Saccharomyces cerevisiae S288C: one gene and its partners. The gene in region 4 interacts genetically with the main gene of each other region. Each region holds a gene or a part of one and is shown on either strand. Other genes may lie near its edges. The genes, in order: YAP1, RTT107, RLF2 and XRS2.

Region 1 (5,202 bases), on a different chromosome or scaffold from region 4:
ATGTGGCCAAATTAGCTAAGTTTTGAACGTACTTCCACTCACCAGTTAATGGGTAATACCAAGGGATTTCATCATCATTGTCCGCCAGGTCTTCGCTAACGAGGACTTCGAAACCACAGTTCTTCAATGCTTTCCTAGCCACGTCGACATGGAACATCTTTGGGATACCATCACCTAGTTCAATTTCATAAGCGATCTTTCTATGTTCAGGATTGTTTTCGTCATATTTATCAGTCATTACCCATTCGTAAACAGCAAAGGTACCACCCGGTTTCAAAACCTTGTAGATTTCGCTGTATACACCTTCTAATTTTGGAGCGTGACATGTGGCCTCAATTGCATAAACTTTGTCGAAAGTGTTTTCTTCGAAATCCATTTTCATGAAATCACCCTTTACAAAGTCCATTTGGTCACTCAAATTGTATTTTTTAGCGTAATATTTTGCCTTGGCAATTTGGTAATCGTTATTGTTTAGACCGATGACGTTACAACCGGTAAATCTTGCAATCTCTCTTGCTGGGCCCCCAACACCACAACCAACGTCGAGAACTAAATCGCCTCTTTGAATACCAGCCTTGTAAGCTAAATAATGTTCATGTCTTGCTATCGAGGCAGCGAAACTCTCACCTTTATAAAATCTGCTGAAATGGAAAGAGGAACCCCAACCATATTCATAGAAATCTGTAACGACGTTATAGTAGGAATGTGTGGCTTCATTATAATCCTCAAGACGACGTTCTTCGGCATCTTTATCGGTTCTACCATCCCAATTTCTCAAGTACTTCTGAACGGCTTCCTTTTGGGCAGAGTTGTTCTTCGACATCAATGCACTCAAACCTGTCTTTTTACCAATATCATCACCATGTAACTCCCTAGTGAATTGGGCCTGTCTTTTTCTCAATTCTGTTTCACTCATCTTATGCTGCCTACTATATTATTATTTTATTCTTGTTTTTTTAAATTATGTAAAACTTAAATCGAAAGTAAAACAGATAAGGGAAACTTGAATGAAAATTAACAGCTTATAAATTACAAAGACGAATGGAAAGAAAAAGAGAGCAGCAGAGGATAGGAGAAAACACCCGAACTATATAAAAAGCAATGAAGAAGTTATCGGCAACAGCAAGTATTGGAGGTTTCTCACCAATCTTCGCATAAAACGCATGCTTCGTAAGGCGATAAAAATGAAGTGTACCATTGAGACGAAGTGGAGCAGTTTACAGTGAATAATACATTGTCTGCTCCTCACTTACTCTCGCTTCTCGAAAACTTTTTTGTATTTATCGGAAACGGCAGTAAACGACGCCAAAAATTGAAAATAAGTACGGGAACGAGGTACCATATACGAAGATCGGGGCTTTGTTCGGCCCTAAATTTTGCTGATCTTACCCTGTTGCATCTTTTCAAAAATAGTAACCAGCCCTAGCTGTTTGGTTGATTTGACCTAGGTTACTCTTTTCTTTTTCTGGGTGCGGGTAACAATTTGGGCCCCGCCAAAGCGCCGTCTTTGTCATGGGAACCGGAAACCCTCCGATGAAGAGTAGGAGGGTGGCAACTGATGGATGCGTAAGGTCTTAAGAGATACATTTGCTTAATAGTCTTCCGTTTACCGATTAAGCACAGTACCTTTACGTTATATATAGGATTGGTGTTTAGCTTTTTTTCCTGAGCCCCTGGTTGACTTGTGCATGAACACGAGCCATTTTTAGTTTGTTTAAGGGAAGTTTTTTGCCACCCAAAACGTTTAAAGAAGGAAAAGTTGTTTCTTAAACCATGAGTGTGTCTACCGCCAAGAGGTCGCTGGATGTCGTTTCTCCGGGTTCATTAGCGGAGTTTGAGGGTTCAAAATCTCGTCACGATGAAATAGAAAATGAACATAGACGTACTGGTACACGTGATGGCGAGGATAGCGAGCAACCGAAGAAGAAGGGTAGCAAAACTAGCAAAAAGCAAGATTTGGATCCTGAAACTAAGCAGAAGAGGACTGCCCAAAATCGGGCCGCTCAAAGAGCTTTTAGGGAACGTAAGGAGAGGAAGATGAAGGAATTGGAGAAGAAGGTACAAAGTTTAGAGAGTATTCAGCAGCAAAATGAAGTGGAAGCTACTTTTTTGAGGGACCAGTTAATCACTCTGGTGAATGAGTTAAAAAAATATAGACCAGAGACAAGAAATGACTCAAAAGTGCTGGAATATTTAGCAAGGCGAGATCCTAATTTGCATTTTTCAAAAAATAACGTTAACCACAGCAATAGCGAGCCAATTGACACACCCAATGATGACATACAAGAAAATGTTAAACAAAAGATGAATTTCACGTTTCAATATCCGCTTGATAACGACAACGACAACGACAACAGTAAAAATGTGGGGAAACAATTACCTTCACCAAATGATCCAAGTCATTCGGCTCCTATGCCTATAAATCAGACACAAAAGAAATTAAGTGACGCTACAGATTCCTCCAGCGCTACTTTGGATTCCCTTTCAAATAGTAACGATGTTCTTAATAACACACCAAACTCCTCCACTTCGATGGATTGGTTAGATAATGTAATATATACTAACAGGTTTGTGTCAGGTGATGATGGCAGCAATAGTAAAACTAAGAATTTAGACAGTAATATGTTTTCTAATGACTTTAATTTTGAAAACCAATTTGATGAACAAGTTTCGGAGTTTTGTTCGAAAATGAACCAGGTATGTGGAACAAGGCAATGTCCCATTCCCAAGAAACCCATCTCGGCTCTTGATAAAGAAGTTTTCGCGTCATCTTCTATACTAAGTTCAAATTCTCCTGCTTTAACAAATACTTGGGAATCACATTCTAATATTACAGATAATACTCCTGCTAATGTCATTGCTACTGATGCTACTAAATATGAAAATTCCTTCTCCGGTTTTGGCCGACTTGGTTTCGATATGAGTGCCAATCATTACGTCGTGAATGATAATAGCACTGGTAGCACTGATAGCACTGGTAGCACTGGCAATAAGAACAAAAAGAACAATAATAATAGCGATGATGTACTCCCATTCATATCCGAGTCACCGTTTGATATGAACCAAGTTACTAATTTTTTTAGTCCGGGATCTACCGGCATCGGCAATAATGCTGCCTCTAACACCAATCCCAGCCTACTGCAAAGCAGCAAAGAGGATATACCTTTTATCAACGCAAATCTGGCTTTCCCAGACGACAATTCAACTAATATTCAATTACAACCTTTCTCTGAATCTCAATCTCAAAATAAGTTTGACTACGACATGTTTTTTAGAGATTCATCGAAGGAAGGTAACAATTTATTTGGAGAGTTTTTAGAGGATGACGATGATGACAAAAAAGCCGCTAATATGTCAGACGATGAGTCAAGTTTAATCAAGAACCAGTTAATTAACGAAGAACCAGAGCTTCCGAAACAATATCTACAATCGGTACCAGGAAATGAAAGCGAAATCTCACAAAAAAATGGCAGTAGTTTACAGAATGCTGACAAAATCAATAATGGCAATGATAACGATAATGATAATGATGTCGTTCCATCTAAGGAAGGCTCTTTACTAAGGTGTTCGGAAATTTGGGATAGAATAACAACACATCCGAAATACTCAGATATTGATGTCGATGGTTTATGTTCCGAGCTAATGGCAAAGGCAAAATGTTCAGAAAGAGGGGTTGTCATCAATGCAGAAGACGTTCAATTAGCTTTGAATAAGCATATGAACTAAAGCGGGAACTTTATGGAAAACTGGGTAACCGAAAGAACTTTTTCTATAATGTTACAATTAAACTTTTTTAACTTACCTTGCTTCGCCTTTTCGCCGAAAGTAGGTAGATTGTATCACCTCGGTATTTTTTTATGTACACAACCTATACTTTAAATATATTTAGACTATGTATGAATTCTCTGTATCACCTTCAATGTCAATATAGAAACTGGTAAGTGCAATAGTACCAATAATGATTATAATTATAATACAAGTATATATATATATCTATATATAGTGGTAAAGTATTCTTTACATGATGGCACAACGCTGAGATTTATCCGTACCTGCAGAACCACTGTTTTTATGATTCTTAAACCTATTCATCTGGAATTTCCAACGCTTTCTATCCTTGTTAGTGGCATGAGTAGGGTTATCTATGCCGCTTAAAGACTTTAGTAATGTAGGTAAAGGCAAACTTTTGGACCTTTCCACGGCACTCATAGCATTGATGGAACTCTTTATCTTTTTCAACTCATTTTTGGAATTACTTTCATTGTTACCCTTGGAATTAGGTTTGTGAGAATTTTTTGTCTTCAAAGAATGGCTAAAATTCGAGGAAGTCGTATTAGAGTTCGACAGTTGTGTCATTGGATGAGGTTCACTTGATAAAACTGTACTTTCACCTGTTTTAGAGTTATCCAACTCGTTACTATTACTTTTATCGATTTTTGTAACAGAATTATGTCTATTGAATGCCCATTCCCCGATACTGTTTACGGTTCTAATAGAACGATGTGCTGTAGTAACGTTAGATTCCATTCTAGTTGGTATGTACATTTGTGGGCCTGACTGTTCTGATAAAGAAGCATCGTCACCATCGTCTTCATCGTCTTCATCGTCAATATAGTCGTTGTAACCGTTATTATATGCAGTCGGGAAATATTGTTGCGGGTCGTTAGTTAATGATAACTCAGAATCTAGAGGTTGCTCTTTTGATATTCCTTCCCTATTATCATAATTGGGATTTTTGAATTCTTCTTCAACCTGTTTGCCGGAGTTTGTCACAATAACCATTGTGTAAAATAAAATTTTTGGAAATGATCTCTTGATATCTAGCAAATCTTGAAGTGTTAGAATTTGTAAATTATTCATTGAAAAATTGGAATCATACAGCAACCAATCATCGGTAACGCTTGCCATTGTAGGTTTATTGTTTGACTGTCTAATCGCAGTAAAAATTTCTTTGGTGTCTGGATCCTGAATTAATATAGATTGCAAAACTAGCCTAAAATACCCTAGAGAATCACAAATTGAGATTGACGGTAGAATGGATAGTACTGAGTAATCGGAAGAAGAAAGATCTTCATCATCATAAACCTCTTCTCCATCGTCCTCTCCTGATCCATACCCTTGGGCGTCATAGTTATGATGAATTAAATTATCCTCCTCCTCTGGGGTTGTCGAAGTAGTTAAATTGTCTATAGAACTCGTTAT
Region 2 (6,441 bases), on a different chromosome or scaffold from region 4:
GAACAAAGTCAGTAATCTTGTATTATTACCTTCATTTACCATGCTAGTCTCATTGTTCAACAGAACCCGTCGTAGATTCAAACCAACATACGGCAGCTGGTCTATAGTTAAGTTTCCCATGACATCTCTTTGGGACCTAAAGGCCACCGTCATTTGAGGGGACATCGTCGGCCAGACAGATGCTGAAACGGTCTCATTCAGATCATCGCCAACTGTCGTAGTAGAGTCAACAGCAGTAACCCACGTTCGCAGTGAGGACCATATGATAAATAGGTATATGAGTATCCACATACCGTGTCTATAACGATGCGAATGCAAATGAACAAAAGAAAAAGGGAAGAATAGAATGGAGATAGTCTTTGAAAAAGCGAGGTTAAAAGCGACTAAAAAATACCAGCAAAAAGGTGACAAATAAAGTTAAACAGGGTGTATCTCACCGTGCAGCGAACACTTCAATGTGACTTGCTCAGCCAAAGACTCATCAACATTTATGGAAATTTCAATGATTCCCATTGTATTGCCTCTTCCCATTGTGGAAAAAAGAAAAATGCCAAAATTGCAAACCCTAATTTAAAAGGGTTACAGAAAAAAAAAAGCAGGTCTGAAATGCAGTTCGCCATGGTTAATATCTTTTCCTAATTTGGAAATATGTAAACAGGGCATCTTTCCTTTTTTTCTCCTAATGAAAATTGTAAGCAAAAGCATGAAACAATACTGCCACAAGAGGAGAATTCCTCCTTTTGAAGTCTAAAGCGCCATTTCAAACTAGTTTTTAGGAGGTCAGCCAAACGTTCATTCAGATTAGTTACTATCTTGGAATACTTCTAGTAGGAAAACAAAATAACATATACAGTAAGAACAATAGAAAACGTATTTATGTCCAACAAGGCAAGTGACCAATCAGCACGCACGGCTTCCATCCTCAAGACTGATATTACCAGAGAAAACACAATCACCAGAAGCAGCAGCAGCAACAACGACAACTACCATCACCACAATAACATCAATAATTACAATGAATCGGCGAAGACAGGAGAGGACGCCAATAAAGAGAATATACCTAATTTAGAGGAGGAGATTGCGGCCTTTCGAATTTTTAGGAAAAAAAGCACTTCAAACTTGAAGTCGTCACACACCACTAGCAATTTGGTAAAAAAGACAATGTTCAAAAGGGATCTTTTAAAACAGGATCCGAAGAGGAAACTCCAACTACAACAAAGATTTGCATCACCGACTGACAGGCTGGTATCACCATGCTCATTGAAATTGAATGAGCACAAAGTTAAGATGTTCGGAAAGAAAAAGAAAGTCAATCCTATGAAACTGAACTTTAAAGGCAACCTTGCTGCCGATTCAGAGGATGTAGAAATCGATGAAGATGAGGAGTATTTCTACTAAAAAAATCTGCCTTTCTAGTCATCCAAAAATAGCCAAATGCTACACTAAACCAATAAGCAAACGAGTACATAAAGAATAAGTAAATAATAATTCAACAATACCTGATTTTTTTTTTCTTACATTTTTTTTATTATTCATTAAAAGCAACCACCAAGCTTTCCAAATTATGAAACCTTGATAAAATGGCTTCAAAATCTTGATCTGGAATTCCGTTTTTTTTGAAGAGGTCGAAAATTATTTGCTTGATTAGAATTTCAAAATCAATAAACTCGTCCATATCCACGCTGTTCCGTGTCAAACGCTGGTTAGCTTTAAAAGCTAGAAAATATTGATTGTTTTCAACATATCGACTTCTGTCTACTGGTGTAACCTCTGTAATAAAGTAGCGGGCACCCGTTTTCGATGGTCCATTTATTAGATCTAGTGACCTCTCCAATAAGATATCCCAATAAGCTATTGAGAATTTCAAGCGCGTGAAATTCAAATTTATCATCAGAGAACGATGTGCGGGAACTCCAGGGCTTTTCTGTATTTTCTCATAGACATTATTTATCAGTAATTGCAGCTGTGTAACAATAAAATTGACGCCACTTTCTTCGTCTTGTAGCTCCTCGTTAAGCTGCGAAATTAACCTGCTCGTATTCACAGTAACACACTTAACCACAGAATGTTCTTCGACATTAGAAATCTCTTGTATTTTTTGTACATCCCAAAAGAATTCAGACATTTCTATTGAACCATTCCAGAAATGTTGTTCCAGAAGTTTATTCTCTTGAACCTTTACACTATTTCGTATTTTCTCGGTTTTAGCCGCCCACTTTTCACGCGTTAACAGGGTAAGCTATATCAGATGTGACTTTTCTTTTTCACTCATCTAATGTTGTTTTTCGCGTCACATTTTTTGCCAATAAATAAATACATCACAATGTTCTATATTGTATATTCAATGGAAGTCATTAGGTTATTGGGCAAGATTTCAAGGAGGTAGCATACTGGTAAATATACGATCCATGAGCACATCACTTCTGTTTGAGCAGCTAAATTTTTTAATTTTAGTGGCAGCAGAGGCTGAGCTTCCCATCGCTCACTCTACTAGAAAGCTTTTGATGGATAATTCATGCAATAACTGTCAAATATACGAGCTTTATAACGAAAATTTGAAAGATGTCAAGACGGATAAAGATTGGTTCATGAACAAATTCGGCCCGCAAACAGTACATTTTGTCATTAGTAATACAATCAACTTTCCTTTTTATAAGATAGTTTATTTCGATCTTTTGATCCCGGTGGTATCACACACTTGGGTCCAGGATTCGGTCAAGACGAAGAGACATTTGAGGACAAATATGTATTCACCTAACCCATTTCATTTGCTCCGAGACTGTCAAGTATATATTTCCAAAAGCTCGTTTAATAAGTGTGAATACATATTATACTCTGATTTGCTTCATTTATTAGGAGGCACTTTAGTCAATTACATCTCAAATAGAACGACGCATGTGATTGTTCAAAGTCCCCAGGACCCGATCATAGCAACGGTCAGTAAATTGACATTTGGCTCTTTTTCCTCTTCATCGACCAACAAGCACACCGAAAAGCCTTTGAGAGAGTGGAAATTTGTCTATCCAATATGGATATTATATCATTTCAAAATGGCGAAGCCCTTGAAGGGCGAGCTTGCTACTTTGTGTGAGCTTGATATGCAGGACACCAGTGAGGAACAGTTATTCGCAAAATGGGAAGAGGTTATTGGCGATAAGCAGACATCATCATCGCAGCTTACTCTTCATCCAAACAAAACTTTATTCAAAAATCACCACTTTGCTATCTCACCAGATTTAAACTTTTTCACACCTTTGTATTGGTTTTTGAAAGGATTTATCGAGGATTTGGACGGCAAAGTAACTCCGTTGAGTTTTTCTGACGATCTGAAGTCTGTTTACCAAGCTTTTCCTGATATTGACTGTTATATCGGCCACTCTGCTAACTCACCGATACTAGAAAAAACCAAAAGCATTAAACCGGAAATTCATGTTGGGAACGTAAGTTGGTTGTTTTATATGTTTGCGCTGCAAAAATTTACACCTGTATCGCAATGTAAACTTATTCACCAACCATTTCATGCGAAATTATTTACTTCTAAGGAATTAACAGTCGCGTACACTAATTATTTCGGCTCCCAAAGGTTTTATATTCAGAGGTTAGTAGAAATATTAGGAGGACTTAGCACACCTGAACTAACAAGAAAAAACACACACTTGATCACGAAGAGTACAATTGGCAAAAAATTCAAAGTCGCAAAAAAATGGTCACTGGACCCGCAAAATGCCATTATTGTGACAAATCATATGTGGTTAGAGCAATGTTATATGAATAATTCCAAGTTAAACCCCAAAGACAGTAGATTTCAAAATTTTAAATTGGATGATAACATGGGATGGAATATCGGCCAAATAGGAATGGATCATTCATCTCTCCCAACTCCAAAAAACCTATCGATGGTGACTTACGACACGCAATCCATATCAGAGAAGCCGCCTCCCACAAATGATCAAATGGATCAAATTAACGATAACACCAATGTATTATCAAAGAAAGATGGTACGCCCATTAGTAGTTTTGAGAACTCAATTGATGAAAAGATTGACAAATTACAAAAAATATCAGGAGAGGTGGCTGTAACCCATTCTGGAGATTTAGAACGGAGTTTTGTTTCCAGACCTTCAAGGGCAAGTTTTCCAGTAGTTGACAGTAAAAAATCTAATTTACAAAAGAAAGACTCAAACTCAGATATTAGTATGGAAACAGAGGTTTTCTGTGAAGGACATGAAAAAAGAGAAGAAAAGGAGTTTACGAAACCTATTACGGAGTATGATGCACCTAAGAAACAAGAAATAAGGGAACAGTCACGCAAGAAGAATGACATAGATTATAAAAAAGAAGAGGAAGAAACGGAGCTGCAAGTTCAGCTAGGACAACGAACTAAACGAGAGATCAAAACTTCGAAGAAAAATGAAAAGGAGAAAGAAACCAATGAATGTCACATTGAAGTAGATCAAATGACGAATGAAAAGCAAGGGGAGGAAAGTACAGGAAAACTGATTTCTACGGAAGACGTCACTTCTAAAAAAGATACAGATAAATTCTCGCATTTGTTTGAAGGATTATCTGATAATGATGATCACATTAATGACGAAAAACCGGCAGTTAATTCCAAATATACCACACCCAAGACGTCTCAAAATATTACGAGTGGCGTTGATACTCCAACCACCGCGCAAACGCAAGTTTTTATGCCATCAAGTGGCAATTCAAGGTTAGCAAAGACACAAGCTGCGAAGAGATTGCATACAGATATTGAATCATTAAATGAATTTCAGAAAAACTTTAAAAGGAAGAGAATTGATAGCGAGGAGATTTCATTGTCCCAAGATGTTGAAAGGTCAAATAATAACAAAGAACTGGCTACTAAAGCGGAAAAGATATTAGCTAGATTTAATGAACTACCAAATTATGACCTAAAAGCGGTTTGCACCGGTTGTTTCCATGATGGATTTAATGAGGTTGACATCGAAATATTGAACCAACTAGGTATAAAAATTTTTGACAATATTAAAGAAACGGATAAATTGAATTGTATTTTTGCTCCAAAGATTTTGAGAACCGAGAAATTTTTAAAAAGCTTAAGTTTTGAACCGTTAAAATTCGCATTGAAACCTGAATTTATTATTGATTTACTGAAACAAATTCATTCTAAAAAAGATAAACTTTCTCAAATAAATATAAACTTGTTTGATTATGAGATAAATGGAATTAATGAGAGTATAATATCAAAAACCAAACTACCTACTAAGGTGTTCGAAAGAGCGAATATTAGATGCATTAACTTAGTCAATGATATACCGGGTGGTGTAGATACAATAGGCTCTGTTCTAAAGGCACATGGTATCGAAAAAATCAACGTTTTACGTAGTAAGAAATGCACATTTGAAGACATAATCCCAAATGACGTTTCTAAGCAGGAAAACGGAGGCATTTTTAAATACGTACTTATCGTCACCAAAGCTTCACAGGTTAAAAAATTTACCAAACTGATTAATGATCGTGATAAAAACGAAACAATTTTGATTGTTGAATGGAATTGGTGTGTTGAATCAATTTTTCATCTCAATGTTGATTTTACATCAAAGAAAAATGTTTTGTATCAAAAGAAAAATAACTAAAAATGGACACTATATATTACGTCATCTGACATACGACACTGATAACAAATAAATATATAATAATTATAAAGATGCGTTGTAGAAAATCTTATGTTCAACAAACAACCCACATATGATTAACAGACCATTTTAAATGTCTAGTTAGAAACAATTATTTGGTACTGTCTTTGAATTAGATTGTTTAATAAAGCATTTCTAATATAGGATACAAAGGGTCAAATAGTACCGTGAGTAGAATCATTTATTCCACACTTTATCCGCAAACCTTTTAATTTTTCTACAATTTCATGGATAAAAACAGATTCATGGCCAGAATGCGTAAAGCAACTCTATTGTACAATTTTCCACTCTGAGATATTCACACAGCGGAGAGCCCTTCTACTCAATGCGTCAAGAACAATGTTCCAAACCTAGTGTATTTTAGGTATATTATTACGAGAGTATCCGCAATGTTAATGACGCAAAATTTAATGGCTCAAGCCAACTACTAACGTTAGTAAGAACTTTTTGATCTAATAATTAAACAGGTTACATCCATAGATTTACGTCAGAAATCTTAAATAATGTTTACATGCGAACAGTACCAAGATACATATATGTGGAGCGGATGAGAGATAAAATTGGGTTAAATGGGAAACATTACGGTATGATGCATAATTTTGAGTTTGGGCTTATTATCCTCGTGCGTATTGTATCGTCTCAATATGAGTGAAGATAAATCACCTATTACCCGAACTTTGAAGAGAACACTCTGAAAATTTGGTGAATAAGAAAGGGCTGTAGGTATTATTCGCGAAGCTTTCATTTATTGTAGTGAAAA
Region 3 (5,077 bases), on a different chromosome or scaffold from region 4:
TTCTCAAGGGTTCACTGGCTTCCGATGGAGGAGCAGAAGAAGAAGAAGTATCCAAAGTATTCACGCCGGATCTAGTATCAAAATCCACAATTCTTCTTGGAGAGGATAAATCAGATGTATGAATATCATTTCTTCGCATGTGTACACGGTTTTGACCATTACGGCCTAAAGAAGAGGAAGAAGTAGGCAGTGCTCTATCACTTCTCAGATCAGAATGATATCTAGACCTTCCAGAAGCGCTCGCAGAAGAACGAATTCTGCCCTGTCTGCCTTGAGATTGGAAAACATCGGAATTTTGTCTTTGGGAAGAAGATGGAAAATTTAGTGGAGAAGAACCTATAGCAGCTCTGATGTTTCCCTCTCCCTGACTTAAGTTCTGGCTATTGTTGCGACCATAGATATCACCTTGTGATGAAGAGGAGCTATAAAATAGAGCTGGGGAAGAAAGCTGTGGTGGAACAGAATCAGGATTAGGCACAACGGGGGAGCTGGAGTTATTATCCTCTTTTGTTGGAGAGCTAGACTGTTGAGACATTTTAAGTTCTTGAGGTTCAAAAGGATCCTAAGTTGGGCTCTACCAAGAGTAAAAATAACTGAAGATGGGTTGTCTTATTTAGTATTGAAGATGTTCTTAAAGAAATAAACAGTGCCAATGCGAAGTTGCTCTTCTGGTCTCTTCTTCTCTTTTCATTTTCGAGGCGGCGAACTAGCATTAAATTTCCCGAAAGAGTAAACCAAGTGTTTGCGTTTTCATGAATCTACTCGTAATATTCCAAAAAGAAGTGATATAAAACATGCAGTTGGCTGACACAGATAAATGTAGTTCAGCTTATATAGAAGATTTTCTTTTGTTGCATGCGAGAAGTGCTGGATTTTATTCAAAGTCCAAAAGGCTTGACTGTCGATCGTAGTGTTGTCGCCTTTTTCATGTATACCAATAAATAATCAGTTTATCTGTATGTTTCTATATACTAAAGATCCGTTCAAGTTACAAAGACGGGGTTGGCATATTTGCATTGGCTCGAAGATTCTCCCAGTTTTGTGCGTCTTTGATTACCCATTTGCGGGGCAAATCACCCTTTCCAGAACTTCTTATGGCATATTCCTTTATGGTGTTTTTAATTGTTTGTTTGTTGTATTGCGGCAAATTTTTCTGTGCTATTTCAGTCACAGTACCCAAAGAAAACGTGCTGTCTTGAACCCCATCAAAAAGTCGAAGTAAGTCCATGGGGTCTGTAATCATTGCTTTTTGTTTCTTTTCGGGACTTTGAGATTGGCTAGCGGTCTGTGCCTGTAAGTCGGAATTACTTCTTTTGGATGGTAGAGACGATGTTTTGGGTTCTTTGAATGGATCGATTGGCCCGTCGGTTTCTATGATAACTTCGGCCTTGAGTTGTTGTAAGTATCGTTTATTTTCCTCTGATAAGTTTTCAAAATTGGATTTTAGGCATATTGTTGGTATCAATGGGCCTACAAATTTTCTCTTGGCGCAGGGTAGGCCATCCAAATCACTGTTTTCTTCGCTGTCTAGAAACCCGTCAAACTCTCCTTCGCTAGGTACGTCTTCATCATCTTCCTCCTCCTCCTCCTCTTCACCACTTTCTAAGTTATCGACTTCGCCTTCTTCTTCTTCATTAACCCATTCAACGTCAGAATCGTAATCATAATTGAATCCAGTACCTTTCGTAGAAAAGGGATCGTTTGGTGGCAAAGTAAAGTCCATAGAATAGGTTCCGATAAACGGAGGTCTAACATTTTCGTAGAATTTTATATATTTGTGCGGAACTTGTGCAAGTAAAGATTGGAGCTCATCGTCTGTTTTCTCCTTCAAAGGCATTTGCTGTAGAACGTCAACAGCTTTACGTTTAATTTTATGTCCTCTAGGTAATCTTCTAGACTGTAACCAATTCAATAAGTCGTCACTACTTGTTTTATCTTTACTGTTCAGTAATTCATCATCTATTTTTCTTTTGCTACCTTCCAGCTCCACTTTTGTTAGTTTCCACTTATTACTGACTCTAACTCCATCTTTAGCATAGAAAGGTAGAAAAAATTTTTCATAATCCGACTTTTCAACCACAGGCGTATTAGAATCGCTTAGTTTTTTAAAGAAGTTACCAATACGGGATTGTGCTCTTTCCTTGGCTTCTTCTTTCAAACGTATTTCCTCCTCCTTTTTCAATCTTTCCTCCTCTTTTCTTCTTTTGGCTTCTAATCTGGCTTCTTCCTTTCTACGCTTTTCCTCTTCCTTTTGCTTTTTCAGCTCAGCACGCCTTTGTCTTTCCTCTTCTACCTTTAGCTCTTTTTTCTTTTTCTCTTCTTGTCGTAATAACTCTTTTCTGTGTTTCTCTTCTGCACGTTGCTGCTTTTTTAGTTCCTTTTCTCTTTTAGCTTCTTCCTTTTTCGATGAGGAAAGTTCTCTCTTAGAGCATGGAGAAGAGCTTCTGCTTTTTGTCTCGATAGCTATTATATTTCCATTGGGTACTTGTTTGTTGGTGTTTCTATCGTATTTTGTACTTTGTATGGGTGAATTTTTGTAGCATAAAAGCTTGTCTTCAGCATTGGCCTTCTTAGGTGTCGTTTTCATTTCATCTGCACACTCTTTATTGATGCTTTTCATGGTTTCTTGTTTAACAGTTTCTATCATAGGTCCACTGACATCCTCTTTAGGATCATCTAGAGTGATGACATCCTTCTCTTTCGTGAGAAACTTATTACTCTTTACCGTAGTTGTATTCTGGAAAAAAGATAGTATGCCTTTTTTCTTAGTGTCGTCCTGTAGAGGAATTGATTTGAGATGTTGCTCCATTTTCCCTTTTCCTTTCGATTCTCTTCTGTCTTGAGGTTCACTAAAACATATAATTCTCTGTAACAGCAATAACAGAATGTTCTTCTCCTCAACGAATTGGCTGGAAAAATGATGTATTTCAAGAAGTGGAACCAATAAGAATTTTATTTTTTAGTCAGTTCGCAAACCTTTTGGTTTAACGATGTAGATCTTTCTTTTTTTCAGTTGAAGCCTTTCACGCGTCCGAACGCGTGAGCATATATGCAAGCCGTCTGACACTATAGATCGCGCCAGGTAGGGAACCACTTGATCCAGCACGATGAGCCCGACAACTCAAAACTCCCTTCTTCTGTATCAAAATACTTTTCAGCATATCCATATCATTCTTCCTTTCTCTTCGTAAAGGCTGACTGGGCGCCGGGGACCCGCTAGTTTAGTAGTACTGTGAATATCGTCATTGTCGTACTGAACGATTATATATCGATCATTTTAATTAATGAAGTACATATCAAAAACTTGACTGGTATGAGTAGAAAGTTCAATTAAAAGGGCTGGAAAAATGGGGGAATAACAGAGAACATGAGCAAGGCTACGTGTTCCTTTGAGGGCTGTCATAGTGCAGTTATTACCATCAACGATGATAACATAATAAACTTACCAGAGCAGGTGCACAGCGAATTCAAGTTGCTGGAAAACAGAACTATGCGAGATGCTACCCCCAGCGAGAGCAACTTCTTGGTCGTCCCTGATGTTTGGGACTTTGATAATGTTGGTGTATCTAGAGAAATTCCTTCTTCTATATTAGGGGATTTGAGTGATAAGAGTGATTTTGTCTTTGAGTATGGTAATTCCAGCTGGAAGATTAAAAAGTGCTTGAAATATTTGATATGCGCTGATTGTGATAAAGGTCCTATTGGAATAATATGTAAGGTGCAAGATCAGACAAAGAATGAAGAAAGAGTTTTGCATCTACTAAGCTTGCGAAGCCTTCAAATTATGGGAAGGAATTAGTTTGGTAGGCACTAGAACAAAAATAGGTTGCCGCCACCAGAAAAAAAAAAGAGTAACCAACCACCTATTTCACTGGCATGGGCCACCTATAACAAGCTATAGAAGTAGTTCTGGTTTACATTACTAGCATCACTTTATGTAATAATATAGGCATTCTGGACGAAATCCTAATGGATGAGCATTACCCGTTTTTTCCGAGGGCCAAACGAAAATTTTCGGAAAATTTTTATTAATTAAAGATTTAAACCCATATTCCTTTGTGCAGATTTTTTCTTTTACTGTATGTAACGCAATATTCAATATTGCATAATTAAAAGAAGCCTCATCCCTCGTTGGTCTTATAGTATAATTACAAGAAGCAATACGACAGAGTATTTGGAACAAGAGCATAATTCAACTAACTCTAGAAAACAATAATGGCTACCAGGACTCAATTTGAAAACTCCAATGAAATCGGTGTATTCTCCAAATTAACGAATACTTACTGTTTGGTTGCTGTTGGTGGTTCTGAAAACTTTTACTCTGCATTTGAAGCTGAATTAGGAGATGCTATTCCCATCGTTCATACCACTATTGCTGGTACGCGTATCATCGGTAGAATGACCGCGGGTAACCGTAGAGGTCTGCTAGTTCCAACCCAAACTACTGATCAAGAATTACAACATTTAAGAAATAGTTTGCCGGATTCCGTTAAGATTCAAAGGGTAGAGGAAAGACTATCTGCCTTGGGTAACGTCATCTGTTGTAATGATTACGTTGCTTTAGTGCATCCAGATATCGACAGAGAAACTGAAGAATTGATAAGTGATGTACTAGGCGTTGAGGTCTTCCGTCAAACCATATCAGGTAATATCTTAGTTGGGTCATATTGTTCTTTAAGTAATCAAGGTGGGTTAGTGCATCCACAAACAAGTGTCCAAGATCAAGAAGAATTGTCCTCCTTATTACAAGTTCCTTTGGTGGCTGGTACCGTTAACCGTGGTAGTTCAGTTGTCGGTGCCGGTATGGTTGTGAACGATTACTTGGCAGTTACAGGTCTGGATACTACAGCCCCAGAATTGAGTGTTATTGAAAGTATTTTCCGCTTGCAAGATGCCCAACCAGAATCCATTTCAGGTAACCTACGTGATACTTTGATTGAAACCTACTCATAGATGTCAGGTACTCCTGAGGGGATTCCCCTCCTTCCTCAAGTCTGTTTACAGTTGTATGCGAAAGAGTCCCCATGTTGCAATAATCTTCTTACGTATCATTTGTGGTATTTTTTTTGGTATAACA
Region 4 (5,864 bases):
TAATAATCTACCATGCCTGCTACGTTAAAGAATTCTTCTGCTACATTAAAACTAAATACTGGTGCCTCCATTCCAGTGTTGGGTTTCGGCACTTGGCGTTCCGTTGACAATAACGGTTACCATTCTGTAATTGCAGCTTTGAAAGCTGGATACAGACACATTGATGCTGCGGCTATCTATTTGAATGAAGAAGAAGTTGGCAGGGCTATTAAAGATTCCGGAGTCCCTCGTGAGGAAATTTTTATTACTACTAAGCTTTGGGGTACGGAACAACGTGATCCGGAAGCTGCTCTAAACAAGTCTTTGAAAAGACTAGGCTTGGATTATGTTGACCTATATCTGATGCATTGGCCAGTGCCTTTGAAAACCGACAGAGTTACTGATGGTAACGTTCTGTGCATTCCAACATTAGAAGATGGCACTGTTGACATCGATACTAAGGAATGGAATTTTATCAAGACGTGGGAGTTGATGCAAGAGTTGCCAAAGACGGGCAAAACTAAAGCCGTTGGTGTCTCTAATTTTTCTATTAACAACATTAAAGAATTATTAGAATCTCCAAATAACAAGGTGGTACCAGCTACTAATCAAATTGAAATTCATCCATTGCTACCACAAGACGAATTGATTGCCTTTTGTAAGGAAAAGGGTATTGTTGTTGAAGCCTACTCACCATTTGGGAGTGCTAATGCTCCTTTACTAAAAGAGCAAGCAATTATTGATATGGCTAAAAAGCACGGCGTTGAGCCAGCACAGCTTATTATCAGTTGGAGTATTCAAAGAGGCTACGTTGTTCTGGCCAAATCGGTTAATCCTGAAAGAATTGTATCCAATTTTAAGATTTTCACTCTGCCTGAGGATGATTTCAAGACTATTAGTAACCTATCCAAAGTGCATGGTACAAAGAGAGTCGTTGATATGAAGTGGGGATCCTTCCCAATTTTCCAATGAGCGCGCTACATTACAGTTAATGCCTCCAGCAACCTGTAGTGCTTCTTTAAACCGATCCGATACAGCTGAAACAAACATTGATTTTACTAATTTTCATATAATATATACACATATATCGAATGATAATGCAAAATATAATTTAATGAAATTGGAAATACTCGGAAAATTTATCATTATCCTTTTCTTCTTTTGAACGTAAACTTCGGACCGTCGTCATCGTCGTCGTCGCCATCACCGTTATTAGAAGCCCCAAAAGAGCCACGTGATCTACTAGTTGCGCTTCTACTGTGTCTACTTTGCTTGGAACATTCTTCTGACAAGTTTGGCCGTAAGTTCATTTCCTTCACCACAAAAAGATTACGATTATTTTCTCTGTGATTTAGTCTATCGCTTTTATCATCAATATCACCCAGATCATCTTCATCAGTAATAAAAATTTTGTTTTTTAGTGGTTGAACGCTGGCTGCAGTACCTGAACAACGAGAAAAAGAAAACGAATCTTCTTCTCCTTCATTTGAACTATCCTCATTCGTGAATCTGTTTAGAGCTTGAGATCTTTTCTGGATAGTGTTTGAGTTTATATTATCGGACATAAATGTATTCGATCCAAATCTTTCCATCTCCGTCAAAGCAAACATATCTTCGTTTTCTTCTGTGCCCCATTTTGTAGTTGTATCCTTTTTGGAGTATTTTTTTAACGGAACATAATTTCTAGTGATTAAAAAGGCTGCATTTCGTATAAAATCTGAGCTTTGAGTGTTATTTTTACCCTCTTCTTTGTGCGCCTTTGATTTTGGACGTACCTTGACAAAAGTCTTGAAATTCTTGCGTTTATGCCATTCTGGCTCCATTAGGCTATTTTCCCATTTTTCAGTTGTTCTGCTTGTTTTGTTTCCCTCACTATCAAATGATTTCCTCAGTAAATTGTTACTAGGTTCTACAATAGCCAAATTTTTTAGCTGATTAATAGCTTCCTCGCTCAACTCCTCATCCTTCAATTCAACAATGGTTGACTTAACTCTTTTGACCTCTCTATTTTTAGTTTCTTGAATAGCTTCAACAAATGCGTGCGGCGTACCAGATTTCTCTTTAATAGATAACTCTTTTACAGGTGACTTACAATTTTCTTGTAATGGAGATGAAATTTCTCGTGAATAATTAGAAAGTTTACGGATGTTTTTAGAGGGTTGCTCTATATTCTGGTGATGATTCACCCTAAAATTCTTAGTAACTTCAGCATCATCCATCGAATTCACAGCAGCTGTTTCATAGTCAGCGGAGTTCGAAGATATGGTTTGAGAGCCAATCCCTGCTACCTCCGGCAATGACGGCTGTGGTAACTTATGTGACTGTAGCGACTTATCCAACGAATCCTCACTCGTGTTCACAGTACCTAAGTTGGGGCTACTGACAATTATAGCACCAGGGCTACTGTGACCACTTTTCTTTCCAATATCTTCAGTCGGCTTTAGTGCGTTTTGAAGAAATGGGGCGTGCTTTTCATCTGCCTCTGCAATGTTGGGACTTGAAATGACAGTCTTTGATTCTGCGCCACAATTAAGTCTCTTAGCGTCAGTTAAAGACCTATTTTCTGATAGAGTCTTAGTACTCAAACCTCCAGCAAAAAAATCAAGACTATCGAGTGGTAGTACTCTACGTCTATTTAATTTTCGCTTCTTCGAGACTACTGGACTAGCTTCAACTTCAGGTGCACGAGATGTTTTCAAAATAGTAGACATTCCTTCAGAAATTTGATCAAATTTACCGTTATCTAGAGTTCTTGAAGATGCACCCTTCATATTAATCACTGCGCTTAAGGTGCCATCTATTATTGATGTTAACATCGTTTTGATAGTACATAGAATTTTCCCATTTTCTTTCTTATCTGTAGTTGTCAAAATCAGGTATTCTGTTGATGCTTCCAAGCTGTCAACATATTTATATAAACTATCAATGTTGTCAAATGCAAATAAATTTATATTGAACGTCCGCAGGAGAGATGATAGACGTGGTTCACTTTTGATAGTAGTTAACACTCTGATATTATTCAGCCTCATAAACTTCGAAAGCAAAATATTTGGATCAAAATCAAAAACATTGTACTCCGGATTACTAATCATATCGTTCCACATTTCATCAAATTTTAAATTAGTTTTAGATGTGGGAAGAAGAGTATTACACAATTCCATCAGAAACCGTGATTTTTTCATGGGTATAGTACTAACAAGGGCATACAATTCCCGTATGCTGTTGTCCTCGCTCTTTGGGTAATCGCTAATCATCAGATTAGCGGGAATATCATTAATAGAAATCTCAGTGGAGATACCATATTCAGAAAGCATCGTCCTGAATTGTGTCAAATGAGGAGGAATGTTCCAGACTTCATTTATCCATTCGAACTCTATACGAATAGGAGTTGTACCCAGTTCAATTATTGTGGACTTTAAAACGTCCGAGGCATTAATAGTAAATGTTTCGCCAACTTTCATGAATTTTTTATTTAATGATGTCAATTTACCCTTGTTAACTAAACACAGGCTACTGTGTTTCAGATCCGAACTATTATTGATTTCCCATTTGAATGTGATATGCTGTCTGGAAATACTTTTATCATTTTTAATTATCAGTGGGTTTTTACTTGATCTACCTATACTATAAGTTTTGAAGGCCTGAAGACAACATGATATAAAGCTAATAGAGCCATCTTCCAATGTATTCTGGTATCGTACTACCCACATAAATTTATAGTTATCACCTTCTCAGTATTGTTGCTCATCTATTACAAAATTCTGCTTATTTGGTTTACGCATTGCTTTTCATAGAAAAAAAGGGCTCCCCATATAAATTTAAGAAAAGTACTAATATTTAGCGTAGTTAACAACTTTACGAAAATGAAAATGAAATATTTCTCGGAAAAGTATTATATATTATACACGTCTCTACATTCCAAATAATTCTACGTTTCTTGGAGTAGTCTTAAGTTTAGTGATGACGATGGCGTTGTTAGTATCTATACCGATTTCAAATGATTCTGGTTTTGTACTGCTATAGTCAGAGATATTTGCCTCCACCAGCTTACAAATTGCTTCAATACAATAATGACACCATTCTACCGCAATTTGGGCATTATAGTTAAGTTCCTTTTTATTTGTAGGTAGACCTGGGTGATTGAATTTCTTACATAATAAGTCCCTTGAGTACCATTGAATGTCTAGTAATTGACCGCTATGACTGTCCCTCAAACCTATCATGATATCTGAGTTCGGTAATAAACCCGTCTGTACCCACGTTTTCAGAAGTTTTCTCCTATGATTGGAATTGTGCATTGATAATGGGGCAAAACACTTTAGTTCTGTGTTTGTCTCCGAAACAGGATTGAATGCATCCATTTCGCAGCGAATTAAAAGACCAATTTCTTCTGAAAGTTTACTCTCTACAAGAGAAAAAATAGGACATTTAGAGCCAGTTAAATCAGCGACTTTGGAATTTTCGGTTACCCAATTTTCAAATTCAAATCCTGAATAGCAAATTTTCTTCATATTTGGATCATTTGAATAAATGCCCTCTTTGGACATTTGAGAATCTTTTTTTACATTTCTGCAAAATGAAAGAAGGCCCGCCCCCATATAAGTTACAATTAGTGACGTTTGTCTATTTCGCCTGTTAAAGAGATGCATAGTCAAATCTACGATATGATGTCTTGTGGTTACAACAGTAAATTTCTTGCCGATCTTAAAATCCTTACCAGGATTATCTAGTATCCAGTTCTCAATGTATGAAAAACACGGTGATACACTATCTAATTCGGATATTGTCATGGGAACGAACTCATCAATATTAGCAAATAAGTCATGGCCTAAATACGGGACTTTCCGCTTTTTTGCCTCAAGAAGCGAGCTTTCATACAATTCAGCAATACTTTCTTTCAAATTTGGTATAAGGTCTTTGCGTAGGATTGTATAAGCCCGGCCATTGGTAAACAGAGCTACTTCTTTACTTTCATGAAATATATCTCTTGGTGGTTTCGTCAAAAAATTGTGCATACCAGTATGCAGAAAAGACGTATATGGGATACATATAAGTTTCGGACGTCTCTTTCTATAATTGTCTCTCTGTTGTGAAGGCTTCCTTGACGAAGATGAATCAGAAGTAGTTTTCTCTTTGCATAATTTACTTTGGTGTCCTCTCTCGAGATTGGGCACAGTAAGCAAATTTATACCTTCTAAATCTTTGGCCAATCCAAGAACAGCATCTTGTTCAGTTGACATAACTGAGTTTGGCTAGAAAGAAAACTTTGACATAAAATCATCGATACCTACAACTGGCGCTGTAATGCAACAATGCCATTATAAAAGTAAAACATGCTGCGAAAATTGCGGAAAAACTGGAAAAATCAATAGTGGGGTAATCCCAGTTAGTTTGACACAATAATTTGGTGATTTTGGTGGAATAATCATTATTTGTGAGGATACACCAACGAAAAGAACCTTTTGTGGTAGTATGGTCCAACAATTGTATTTGCAGGTTGGTACTAACAACCTCTATAAGTAGACGATACAAGAGTGATCATATGGTAGGACACTCAGCTCAGCACAGATCAAAAAGCAGCTTAGTGTCTCACCTACTAATACTACTTATCTTTATAACGATTATTATTGAAATGTGTTTATATAATAAAATTTTTAAGAACCAAAGGTCGGATGATATTAGAGACAACTTTAACAATGGCGGACATCGAGTTCCCAGTAATGTCCAAAATCATGGAACCCATATAAGAGACGAAGCCTTTATATCAGGGGTCTATTATTCCAATTGGTCCCCATACAAACCGAGGTTTCATTTCCCTCACGACATAAACTTGAAGCAAGTGTCTCACATTTACTATGCATTTTTCAAAATAAACTCTAGAACTG

Evidence for each region.
Region 1: mutations in XRS2 (region 4) and YAP1 together harm fitness more than expected from each alone (negative genetic interaction), as found in Saccharomyces cerevisiae (3 studies listed by BioGRID, with this or other methods).
Region 2: mutations in XRS2 (region 4) and RTT107 impair growth when combined (synthetic growth defect), as found in Saccharomyces cerevisiae (4 studies listed by BioGRID, with this or other methods).
Region 3: mutations in XRS2 (region 4) and RLF2 together harm fitness more than expected from each alone (negative genetic interaction), as found in Saccharomyces cerevisiae (4 studies listed by BioGRID, with this or other methods).

Annotation. Positions count from the first base shown.
Region 1 is NC_001145.3:252,075-257,276, forward strand, and holds YAP1 (DNA-binding transcription factor YAP1), read left to right. Parts: upstream 1-1,773; coding exon 1,774-3,726; downstream 3,727-5,202. Other genes in the region: ERG6 (sterol 24-C-methyltransferase), read right to left, coding at 1-916; MIN4 (Min4p), read right to left, coding at 1,088-1,198; GIS4 (Gis4p), read right to left, coding at 4,018-5,202. UniProt on the Saccharomyces cerevisiae protein: Transcription activator involved in oxidative stress response and redox homeostasis.
Region 2 is NC_001140.6:400,558-406,998, forward strand, and holds RTT107 (Rtt107p), read left to right. Parts: upstream 1-2,408; coding exon 2,409-5,621; downstream 5,622-6,441. Other genes in the region: MTC6 (Mtc6p), read right to left, coding at 1-291; SPO12 (Spo12p), read left to right, coding at 877-1,398; SPO16 (Spo16p), read right to left, coding at 1,529-2,125. UniProt on the Saccharomyces cerevisiae protein: Required for resumption of chromosome replication after DNA damage, specifically in S phase. Is recruited to chromatin in the presence of RTT109 and RTT101 in response to stalled replication forks and acts as a scaffold during DNA repair.
Region 3 is NC_001148.4:592,208-597,284, reverse strand, and holds RLF2 (Rlf2p), read right to left. Parts: upstream 2,810-5,077; coding exon 989-2,809; downstream 1-988. Other genes in the region: MCM DNA helicase complex subunit MCM4, read right to left, coding at 1-535; guanine nucleotide exchange factor DSS4, read left to right, coding at 3,368-3,799; TIF6 (translation initiation factor 6), read left to right, coding at 4,216-4,953.
Region 4 is NC_001136.10:1,213,892-1,219,755, forward strand, and holds XRS2 (Xrs2p), read right to left. Parts: upstream 3,690-5,864; coding exon 1,125-3,689; downstream 1-1,124. Other genes in the region: trifunctional aldehyde reductase/carbonyl reductase (NADPH)/glucose 1-dehydrogenase (NADP(+)) YPR1, read left to right, coding at 13-951; DXO1 (Dxo1p), read right to left, coding at 3,891-5,219; CTS2 (putative chitinase), read left to right, coding at 5,522-5,864. UniProt on the Saccharomyces cerevisiae protein: Component of the MRN complex, which plays a central role in double-strand break (DSB) repair, DNA recombination, maintenance of telomere integrity and meiosis.